2 linked regions of the Schizosaccharomyces pombe genome follow. The gene in region 2 interacts genetically with the main gene of each other region. Each region holds a gene or a part of one and is shown on either strand. Other genes may lie near its edges.

Region 1 (6,902 bases), 4.5 Mb from region 2:
TGTGATAAGAGCAAATAATGTATATGGTCCTCGACAATACGAAGAGAAACTAATTCCTATGACTCTTGGAAAGCTAAAGAAGTTCATTAACCAAAAATCTCAGAAAATAATGCAAGACAAAATCACACTGCATGGAGATGGGTTACATAAACGAAAATATTTGCACATCTACGATTTTATTAACGCAATAGACTTGGTCTGGATGAAGCAGGGAAGTGAAGTTTATCATAGCACACTTGAATCTAAGATGTCTGGCCAGATTTTCAATATTGGTTCGGATGATGAAATCGATAATCTAAGTTTGGTCAAGTTCATTTGCGACTATTTCTTATATCGAAAGCTGTCTTTGAAAAACTTGGATTATTCAAAATACATAACGTTTGTTCAAGATAGAAATTACAACGATTCAAGATATTCGTTGAATTATGAAAAAATTAAAAGTTTAGGTTGGAGACCTCAAATCCCATTGGAGACAGGGCTAAGAAAATTAATTGACGAGTACTATTAATGAGAAAAAACTGAAAACACATAATAATACTTTAAAACAACTTTAACGTTGTAAACCACAAATTTCCTTTTATTGAACAAAAAGATGCTTAATCGGCTGGGTTTTATTAAGTTTTTTCATTTAATAGTATTCTCCACTATTGTACGATGCTGAATCTAAAAAATGTTTGTTTTCTTCTAAATCTTGTGCGTAAAGGGAGAATTTCGACCTCGCACCATAAACTTCACCTTTGCGTAAGATTACCTGTTTTGACCATTTCTCATTATTCAAAGCGTTGATAAATCTACCTGTTTCCACACAAAATCCGCTGCGACTTTGAAACTCACAGATGTCATTTCCATCACCGGTGTAAAGTTGAAATGCAGGTTCTGTTGTAGACACCACGAGCTTCACCGGCACAGAGGGATGTATTACTTCAACAATATTTTTTAAAGAATACTTTCGTGTGTCCAAACAGAACTTGCTAGCTTCCCTGTCTACTATAAAGCAATTGTCAAACGAGATGTTTGGGTCAAGCTTGGTTGGTTTAGTTATGTCATTTTGCCATTCGACAATATCACCAGTCGGTAACGAGGTTTCCGAATTCACTTTTAAATAGACGTTAGTCGTGCTTTTAATTATTGTTCCGTCAATAGTTTTATTAGGAGAGGCTAAATTCCAGTAAGAATGATTTGTCAGATTTACGGCTGTTACATTGAGTTTCGAGTATTCTGGAATAACAGATTTGTATTCAATTTCCAAAGAGTTATTTTTGATTGTATATTTGACTAAGGTTTCCAGGTCAGAAGGAAAGCCGTTGTTACCATCTTTGTCAACTAAAATGAATTCCAGTGTATTGTAGTCCTCATACTGTCGAGCGATAGGCCCCAAGAAAAACTGCTTATCGAATCCATTATTTCCTCCATGTAAGGTGGTTTTATTGTTTTCGTTCTTACATAATGTGTACAAATGTCCATCCACTTCAAATTGTCCATTCGCTATTCGGTTGGCAAATCTGCCAATTGTCGCCCCAAAGAACGGATTCTCTTTAAGCTTATACCGTGAAAAATCATTAAATCCATTTACTAAATTCCTCCCTTTATATCTTACTGCTTGCACTAATGCTCCGTAATTGGCTATGGAAACCTCAAGATCTTGAAAGCAGATAGTATGGAGTCTATTCTTATAATCCATAATCCCAAGAGTGTTAAACAACTTCCATTTGTAGTTGTCAATTTGAAATCCAAAAGGATTTTCGATCGTCCATTTCCACAAGTCTCTACAAGCATCTGTAATACTCAATTCAGCCTTCCATTTTAATTCACTATTTGCTCGATTCGGGCTTGCTGTCAAGTTGAGAACATCACCTGTTCTTCTGCCCACCACTTCATACGGTAAATCTTTACCTACTTCCTTACAAAAGGCATGATAAATATCGAACACGGAGGAACCTTTTCCTGTTCCCAAGTTCCACTCTCTGTACATTCCTTCACTATTATTGATTTTGTTTAGGTAGTTTAAAGCGGCAATATGTCCCTTAGCTAAATCCACAACGTGTATGTAGTCTCGGATAGGAGTCCCATCATGGCTATCGTAATCATCACCAAATACTAACAACTTTTCTCGCCTACCGATGGCTACTTGGGCTAGAAACGGTAAAAGATTGTTGGGAATACCCAAAGGGTCTTCGCCAAGTAGGCCTGATGGGTGAGCTCCAATTGGGTTAAAATATCTAAGTATTGCGCCTCGCCAAGTATTGTCGCTAGTGTGCAAATCTTTAATGATATTTTCAATAGCGTACTTTGTTTTCCCGTATGGATTGGTTGGGTCATTAGGACACGACTCTGGGATTGGAATCATGTTGTCAAATCTAGTAGCATCGCCGTATACGGTGGCAGATGAGCTAAACACAACTGTCTTGACCCGGTGTTCACGCATTACATTTAGTAAAGTAATAGTACCGCAAATATTATTGTCGTAGTACTCCAGTGGTAATTTCATTGATTCCCCAACTGCTTTTAAAGCCGCAAAATGAATAACACCCTTGATTTTAAAGGTATCAAAAATTTGAGCCAAGCCTTCTTTATCGCGAAGGTCAAGCTTAAAAAATTTAATTGATTTTCTCACAATAAATTCGACTCTTGCTACAGCATCATAACACGAATTGCACAAATTATCTACAATTATTACTTTATATCCATGGTTGATTAGTTCAATGACTGTATGTGAACCAATGTAACCAGCGCCACCAGTTACAAGAATGTATTCGTCTTGAACCGCCATTTTATAAAGAACAAAAAGGAGCTTAAAAAAATACTCAAAAAATTTGTTTTCGAAATATGGGTTAAGGTTCTTTAGGGGCTTCTTATGTTAGCTTTAATATGCGATATGTGTGTGACTAGAGTATCTCCAAACGTAAGCATATATATACAATTTTAAAATGTAACGTGGCTTCTCCAGGCGTACAATCACATTACCCCAAGTTTCGTTAATTAAACTGTGACTTTCTGCATCGAATATTCTAGCCATATTCAAGCAACAAAAGCTCCCATCTTCTCCGCTTTATTATAAGCTATGATTACCGGATTTCGTAAAAAAGCGCATACCCAACAGTTCTCAACTTAGGTTGGTGCTCTATTGGTTCTTCTCAGTGGGGTACGGTTCGTTTAAATGATATTAAACTGCATGCTATTACATGGTTGAAACGTTAACTTACCCATCTTTTGCGGATTGAGAATTTGATGTGGGGGCACAGAAGAATAAAGACACAGATGTTCCATTAAAAGTATGAGAATTATTGTCATTCTTTTGGTGTATTTTGTAGTCGCAAGGTCTTTTATAAAAAATTACCAAGTATTTCGCAGAGAATTGTCCGGAGGTTGAAATAAGAAATTAAGAAACTTAATACAAACGGAATTCCAAAAATATTTTTGCAAAGCCTTTATTTATATTAAACAACTGATATTTTTTAATCAATGTCACAAAGTTATTTTTTATGAATACCGTTTTCCGAACCCTCCATGCAACACTTTTAACTTCACCGTATGTCTCAGGTAACGCAAAGTCTAAATGACATAAATCAGTAAACAAGAAGTAAATAAGGCAAAAAGGGTCAAACTTTTGACAATTTATATAATCGTAGTAGTATAACGTGGTTTGCTTGACTGATCAAACTAATTTTTAAGGCAAGAAGAAGTGTTTATCGATTTTCAGAGCAAATAAACAAAAAGATAAAAGCTGCATCTATATTTTTTCAAAAAGAAGTGAAAAAAGGAGAGAATACCTTTTCATTGATCATTTTCAAGTTTACTTTTTCTTTACCACATTTGTAATTTTTTCTGATTGGTCTCAAATTATGGCTACCGTTCCTACATATCACGACTTATCATTTTACTCCAACCCAAAAGAAAACAAAGCTAGGTATGCAAAGTTGCTAAACAGTTTTGAACAAAAATATCACTGCAAGCCAGATTTTTTTAGTCGCTCGCCTGGCAGAGTAAACATCATTGGCGAACATATTGACTACAACTACTTTTCAGTATTGCCAATGGCAATTGACGTTGATGTTATTGTTTCAGTTACCACAAGTGATGATGCCAAAGTTGAGTTGAATAACACGAATCCAGAATTCAAGGAGGAAATATTGGAATTACCGAGTGACGGGGCAGTGATTGAAATTAACAAAACCCACCACACCTGGGGAAACTACTTTCGATGCTCTATGATTGTTGCTCATAAATATATTTTAGAGAAATACCCAGAATTAGTCAGTGGGGGTAAGAAGCCTTTAAAAGGATTAAAGTTGATTTTTGATGGTAACGTTCCCACTGGTGGAGGACTATCATCTTCGGCGGCCTTCTGTGTGGCATCGATTTTAGCCATTTTGAAAGCCAATGGAATTAATACAATTACCAAAGAAGACCTCGTCAAGATTAGTGTTGTTTCCGAGCATTATGTAGGTGTCAACACGGGCGGTATGGATCAATGTGCTTCTATCTATGGAGAGCAAAACAAGGCGCTTTTGGTTCAATTTAAACCAAAGCTTATGGCAACACCGTTTAAGATGCCGGTACTCAAACCTCATGACATGGTATTTCTAATCTCTAACACACTTGTGGAAGCAAATAAGCAAGAAACCGCATTAACAAATTACAATCTACGAGTGGTGGAAATGGCAGTTGCTTCAGAATTTTTGGCAAAAAAATTTAACTTAGAATTGCCAAAGGAGTCAAATTTACACACTGGTACATTGAGAGGATTCATGGACGAATACTACGAGAAGCACCTAAAACAGCCGCATTGGGATGGAAGCGACATTGACATGGGCGTTCAACGCATGCAGGAAATGTTAAGGCTCACAGAAATAATGTTTTCTGAAGAGCAAAAAGTGGGTTTTAAGACTGAAGAGCTGGCTAAGGAATTAGGGTTGTCTGTGGAAGAGTTTACTAAAGTTTTTTTAACAAAAATTCCAGTAAAATATGAACGCATGAAAATCTATCAAAGGACCGTGCATGTGTACTCAGATGCGATGAGAGTACTGCAAGTGTTAAAATTGTTTCATCAGCATAAGGACAGCGATGATCCTCAAAAGTTTATGTTGGCATTTGGTAGACTATTAAATGACTCTCAACGATCGGAAGATATATATAATAATTCGTCGTCTCCCGAGTTAAGAGAGGTATGCAAAATATCGTTGGCTAACGGAGGTTATGGAGCCAGAACGACGGGTGCTGGATGGGGTGGATCTGCGGTACATCTCACTACACACGATAAACTAGCTAAACTGGTTGAAGCATTGACGGAACAATACTATAAAAAGCAGTTTCCTAAAATTACTCAAAGTGAATTAAATGCCGCTGTTGTCGTATCGAAACCGGCTGCTGGATCTTGTATAGTACAGTTAGCCGAATACTGATTAACAGACTTTTTTCAGTATAATTTAATCAAATCCCGAAATACTTATTGAATGCTAGTTTTAATTGAAAAAGCAAATAAATAAAGAATCACAGAAAGTTTTTTAAACAACGAAATATTAGAAATGTTTTTCTTTCGTTTCGCCAGTGATGTGAGTAGGAAGATCAACAAAAAATGGTTATAAATAAACGAGATTAGTGCAGTTGGTTAATTAAATTGAAACCTTCGCGATTGAATTGTACAAATTATATTAAATAGTTTAAAAGAAGACAGTGGTTCCCGCTGATAAACATCGATTCACTTTTTATTATTAGAATATCTTTCAACATAAATATATAGTTTGGGAAATCAACTTTTAAGAATCAGCAGGTGAACATTACAGAACAATGTGACTAGACTTTGTATGGAAAAGAATATTGTTGGCTTTTAGAACATTGGTTTTAGTATGAACTTTGGCTACACATTATTCTAAAATATATTTTAGAAGTGTTTGATTCCATATTCATTAGCAGGAGAAAACATGAAAATCCTATTGGAAATCAAATAGTATAATATATACGAATTTACTGAAGACTCTGCATAAAGTTTTGATTTGAGTTTGAAAGTTTATTATTTGTTTGATAATAATATTAAATTTAATGAGCTTATATCTGAAGCTACTCCAAAAGAAAAGAATCTTTATCATTTTATTAAGCCAATTATATGTTATGGTATTCTTTTTTTTGGGGGGAAGGGATTTATAAGCTTAATTCGTGATGCAAGTTTTTAAAAGAATTTTTTAGAAAATTATATGGCTAACAAAATTTGCGGAAAGATACTATACTTACCGGTATAGCTTCTTAAAAGAGATCATTTTCGTTTTTAGTCAATAAAAAGTTAAATATCAGTACCTGCCATAATTGTATATGGTAAAGCTATCAATTTTCATATGATGTTCAAGGAGCCTCAAAAAAGAATGAATAAAGTGATCAAAAGTTCTCTTTTTAATAGTAGACAATCTGATATAAATATCAAGCAAAATTAAATCACCTAATTTCGATTTAAGCAAATAGTCAAATATATAAATTTTCGTTAACTAAAGTTTTACATTAGCTTTAGGAAGGCTTATATGACTTCGTTCCGAAACCACTTTATACTCTCCATATTTTATTTACTTTTTCAGATAACTGGATATGAGAATACATACTTTTAATTTTCACTTTCGTTTTTTTAGAATGATAGAATTTATTACGTTCATTTTTTTGATACTATATATAAGGCAGATGAATAATATGTGCAGAAATTGTTTTTATTTGATCGCATAGGAACACGCAAAGCTTGCAATTCTAACTTACATGTCAATAAATCCTTAACATAAATAAGTGCAGTGATTTTAGAACAAATAATGCAAATTAAAATTCCCTTAATTTAAATACGAGGCAACCTGGAAGTACTTTAAAACTGTTTAAAAAGTTCCACATATTTTCAGTTTGGTAGCAATTTGTAAATATATCTTACTTTA
Region 2 (5,548 bases):
GTGTTCTTTTCCCTCCAATCTTCCCAATGTTTTAACGCTAACGTTATGCAACGTGGAGCACGGTAACTCCAAAACGAAAGATATAAAAGGCTAATCATTCCTGATCTGCTTTTCCCTTGAGCAAGCATCATTTACCAACTTTTTTAAAGATGCGTCTTCATAAAACACTAGCATTGCTGTTATGCAACCTAGTTCTCCATACTCTAGTTAAAGGTGAAGTAGACGCCAAAGCAGTATCTATTACTACATAAAAGGAAAACTCTACCTTGTCAAACCATAATGGACTGCCTAAAGAAGCCAAAAAGCTCACTCTTAAGTGCAGTTGGTTCATTGTGGAGGAATCTAACGGTGCCAGAATACATGCTAATTTTTTTGCACAAAGCTTCGATAAAAGAGAAATTGCTTTGTCTTTTTTTGAAGCAAATGAATGGCAAAATATAATTGGCTGGAATGATCAAGTTGAGGAGATGATTGACTTTGTAAAATCAAGAGACACGGTGATCCAAAAATCTTTTTTTGAGGAATTTAATTCCCAAAACCGAGAGATGGGATCATTTGCATATTCTGGTAACTCGGAATCGGTATGGACGGGCGAAAATATTACAAGTATATGGAAAACTATTTTGATTAATGAAACGGGTTCTTACTGCGTAGCTGCGAGACCAATGACAATGGATGGAGCTGAATTTAATTTAGACCTTATGGGGTATTCGGTTTCAGAAGATCAAATTAATAATGACGAAATTGGCATTTGGAACTATATTTCTGTAGCTGAAATGGGAGGAGTACTATTATTTTTGAGCTATTGGATATGGACTTGTTTACATTTCAGCAAGATTATATTTCCTGCTCAAAAGGTAATCTGCCTTTATATTTTTCTTTTTGCGTTAAATCAGACTCTACAAGAATGCATTGAGGAGTATGTTTTTTCTTCCGAATGTATAAAATACAGACAATTTTATTCGGTGTATGAAATAATTGATTTTCTTCGGACAAATTTTTATCGATTATTTGTGATTTACTGTGCATTGGGTTTCGGCATAACTAGAACTGTTCCTAAATATCTTATGATAAAAGGAATTAGTATTGTCATTGCTTTATGTTCTGTATACTGGATTTCTTTATATAAAGACGTATATGTAGTATCAGAGATTTTTGACATGATCCAGTATGAGGTATCTCCTGCAATTTGGGTGTATTCTATTTGTCATTTATTGAAACAATGCACGTCTGTAACAACTTACGAAAATGCTTCAAAAGCCAGATTTTTTAGAAGAATGCTAAATGCATTTATCTTTATATTCTGTGCATCTCCAATGTTGCATTACCTGTCGAATATTATATTTGGAAACTTTGATTACAGACTGTCGGTGATCATTGGTGATCTTTTCACTTTTATGGAGAAAATTGCTTTTCCATGTTACATAATGTTTCCCACCCATAATGAAGCACTTGCCTACAATCGAAATGTAGCTGAAGAGGCTCAAGAGAAAATGATTTGACAAAAACCATGGTTTACTTGATTCACCTTTAAAGGGGTTACCGGGATTATTTTATTTATTATTTGTTTATCAATGGATTAATATCCAGTTATTTTAATCTCACTTTTTTACACAGAAATTGTGTAGTAAGTTCATTCTTATTTAATATACCACCTATTTATTTTTTACAAATGAATATTTTTTTACTGGAACGTTTTAAATACACATAACCTTTGAGTCGATGTGAAATAATGTTTTGTTCAAACTTAAAAGTTGCGAATCTGACATATAGACAAAAAAAAAATAAAAAGAAAAAACTGGTTACCTTCATAAACATATTTTGCTAATTTATTGAATTTAATTATTTTCAACTTGCTTTCCCATTTTCCCAACAATTTTTTTATCTATAATATATATTTTACAAAATTAATATAGTACATCGCATGGTTTTCTTTAAAACGACATAAACGTATAATAATAAACGGGGATTCAAAGTAATAAATCGAATCCAAATCAACTTTCAAATACATCCATTTCATCTACTTTACCCTTATATTCCCCTTCATATCCCCAACAAAAAACAGGAATTTGCGAAAGTAGTAAATGGTAAAAGTGAATAAATAGAATCAAGGTTAAAAGCTTACTTGTATGCATAAGAAGATAACTCCCTCCTCTTTACTTTTGCTTAAAAACAGATTCTGAGATTCGGGACTAGCATCGGTAATATAAGTTTTTCTTTCATACTGTTGAGTACTAGCATCAGAACCCTTAATGGTAGGAAGATCATCATCATGACTACGCCTTTGTTCAATCGAGTAAACATTTGCTGGTTCGTGCCAGTCACACTGAGAACAACAAAGTACCTATTATTAAAAATGTTAGCAAGCGATCGCTAACAAGTTGAAAAGTAAACACCTCCAACTATTCCATGGAAAGCATGTAACAATGAAGATCAATGAATGGCTATTAGCTTAACAAACTTGTAAACTCAAAACAGACTAACAACGTTTGTCAGGCACTAAGAGCAATAATGGAACAGACTTCATATCAAACGCTTTCTTGAATGTTCTTACCTTATTCGTATAAACCGGAAGAACAGGCACAATGAGAACCGTTACGGTTTTCAACTGACGACATACTCGGACTAAAAACAAAATGTTATGTTAACATTAATAAGACAAGTTTAAAAAAAAAAAGAAAGAGCCAATTGCTTTCGAAACTACTCAACTTGTTTATTTCTCGTACCAGTCTTCTTTGAACTAAAAAAAAAAAAAAAGCATTAGCAAAATGTGTTGTCAAACGGATAAAAAGAGAACAGGAAGAAGATTGCTGGAAACAATTTTAAAACAGCGAATAAAAAAAAAAGAAAAAATAATAATAATAATAAACAAAATACGAGTCGCTAATTTTTGAAACTAATCGCTTCCAACAACTGTTTCATTATAACTTCACCATTTTAATATTGTCCCCAAACAGCATGATTTAATTCTCTTTCACTAATTTCATACCACACAGGACACGTAAGTAAAACATCCTTATAATCGTCAGTGGATATCCACATATCTCGTAAATGTAATGGCATTGTTAAAAAAAATAAACACTCAAGTGAATAGAATTATGAAGAATTCGAGTCTAGTTCAAAATATTTGTTTTGACAGAGTCCCTCTATTTATACCAAGACTAAGCCTCACAGTGAAATATTGTCTAGCAGTAAAATTGCTGATTTATTTATTATATTGTTGGTACATTTACTCGGAAGTACCATCGGCTTCATCTAAATTCCGATCCTTTACATTTGGATGCGTCGTAGTATATCATAACAAATTTTTTCCTCGTTTCATTAGAACTCACTCCATTAACTCCATTAGAACGTTTTCTAAATTTCAAGTCATTATACTTTTCTCTATTGAGAAAGTCACTAGGTCAGAAAGCAAGAATCATTCTTACTCGAAAACCGATATTAGTGATCTGCACCAGGGCTATAATAATCCACCATCAAGATTCATATCACAATAACAATTCCATAGTATCTTGCTATATACGTGTAATGAGTATTCGATACTGGCTTGATTGCTATTTCTCCTTTGCTTGTAATCGTAAAATTGACTTGAAGATCTAAACCTTCTAATGCAATCATTGGAATTCTGCCTAACCTGATCAAATATGGCTTGATCACCGTTAAGTTAAAAGCAGAAGCTATGCCAATCAGTATGATTGTAACTTACAAAAAAATATAGCACAACGACATACAACATTATGGTACAATAAAGAAGACTTGATATATCAAGAACGAGGTTCAGTTTGTGCTCCGTTTATATTATTGTATTTCTATATATGACATTACTTGATGCAACCGCTTAAATATGTACTTTTGTGTAGTTATACTCGCAAGTACAGTAGCATTTTTAAAGTAGCGGTGATGTTGACGAATGGTTTGTTTCAAATCCATCCATTTCAATTTCAATTGTAAATTTCTCTTTTTCAATTATTAATCAAGTAAGTTGAAGTGTATCAGCACAATAAATTCTGACTATTACTACTCTTAAAATAAAACTCAAGCGAAACTAATTTTTAATAGCAAGTCATATTCTTAGTTTGATATGCTATCCGCTTTGGTTTTGCATTGTTATGACTTTGTATAACCTAATAAGGTGACGAAAAATCAGTTCGTTTATATTTTTGATGAGAAGAATTCACTATTATTACACAGAAAAACATTTACTTCTTATTAGATACCTTCAATATAATATATTTTTTAAATGTAATAGCGACGACACTACCCATAATTTACAATACATTGTATGGTAAACAACTGAGTAGTTGATACACCCGATTTTCATTGAGTCATACACTTTGCGCTTACTATCACTTTATTTGATTAAATGCATAATTTACAAGCCATTCCAATATTTCGCGCACTTTTCGGACATAGTAATAAAAGCCGAGGTAGTTTCGGCGACTTGCAACATGTTTTTTTATCGTCAGCTCGGAAATAGATTTCCTGACAGAGAAAGAAGGATATAAAAATAAACATGATGGGGCAATAAATAAATATTTCACCATTTTTTATATATCATTAAGAACAATGAAGAAATATATCTCTGAAGTAAAAAATAGTTTGGGAAAATATGTATGAAGATCCCGCAACACCATTTGATAATGAGAAACCAGACGAATAGATCATGAATCTTGTACAACTGGGGAAATTACATGAGAATGTATTAGATGCCGGTTGTGAACCAAATAGAAATGCTAGATATTTAGCCAGTCTTGGATATAAAGTCGTGGGTATTGATATTTCCGAAAGGGCTATTTCTAAAGCAATCGATAAAACATCTAGTGAAAAAAGTAATGTCAACTTTAATCAACGCGATTTTTCAAGATTAAATGAATTCAAGGGGCATTTCGACACTGTGATTGACATTGGTTGTTTTCATTCAATTCTAAATAGTGATCATGAGCCATACACAGCTTCGTTAAGTCATATATGTCACTCTGATAGCTCCGTTTTCCTAAGAGCGTTTAGCGAAACAAACAAATCACGTTATAGACGGTGGCAGGGCCATAAAAGGTATTCCCTCGCTTTAAAAAGAAACAATGTCAAAAAGCTTTCTTTATAAACTATTGGAAGATTGAAGACATTAAAGAAGAAAAGTCCTGCTTCATCTTCCCCTAACTAGAAAAATAAATGTTTACACATGGTTTGCCAAAATGCGTTGTAAATAGTTCATGTACATAAAATATATAAAGATGAATGGACATATACATCAATTTTAAGAACCCATTAACAAAAAAAAATTCAGACACTCAATTAGCTAGCTAACAACTGTTCTTTACGAAGAGTTGAAAGAAACTTACAACCAATGGAAACCTTAGAAATATCAAGGCTATGATGCACTAGCGAAAATCCATTAAACTGACCAGAGCTTTTAACTTTGATAGATTGGCTATTCTTATTAGAAATCGATTGTTAACATTCATGAATTCAGCATTATATTAATGGTTAGAAAGTTATGGATCGAATATAAATGCCAAAGAAAGCAGGTGTGAGGTGGTCATTTGCTGAA

The links.
Region 1: mutations in ftm6 (region 2) and gal1 together harm fitness more than expected from each alone (negative genetic interaction), as found in Schizosaccharomyces pombe (one large-scale study listed by BioGRID).

The regions. Positions count from the first base shown.
Region 1 is NC_003423.3:4,484,649-4,491,550, forward strand, and holds gal1 (galactokinase Gal1), read left to right. Parts: upstream 1-3,649; 5' UTR 3,650-3,842; coding exon 3,843-5,402; 3' UTR 5,403-5,623; downstream 5,624-6,902. Other genes in the region: tgd1 (nucleotide-sugar 4,6-dehydratase), read left to right, coding at 1-508; UDP-glucose 4-epimerase/aldose 1-epimerase Gal10, read right to left, coding at 629-2,770. UniProt on the Schizosaccharomyces pombe protein: Galactokinase is a key enzyme in the galactose metabolism where it catalyzes the conversion of alpha-D-galactose to galactose 1-phosphate.
Region 2 is NC_003423.3:7,513-13,060, forward strand, and holds ftm6 (transmembrane helix domain-containing protein), read left to right. Parts: upstream 1-3,056; coding exon 3,057-3,497; 3' UTR 3,498-3,839; downstream 3,840-5,548. Other genes in the region: ftm5 (transmembrane helix domain-containing protein), read left to right, coding at 468-1,502; SPOM_SPBC1348.04 (methyltransferase), read left to right, coding at 4,664-5,101.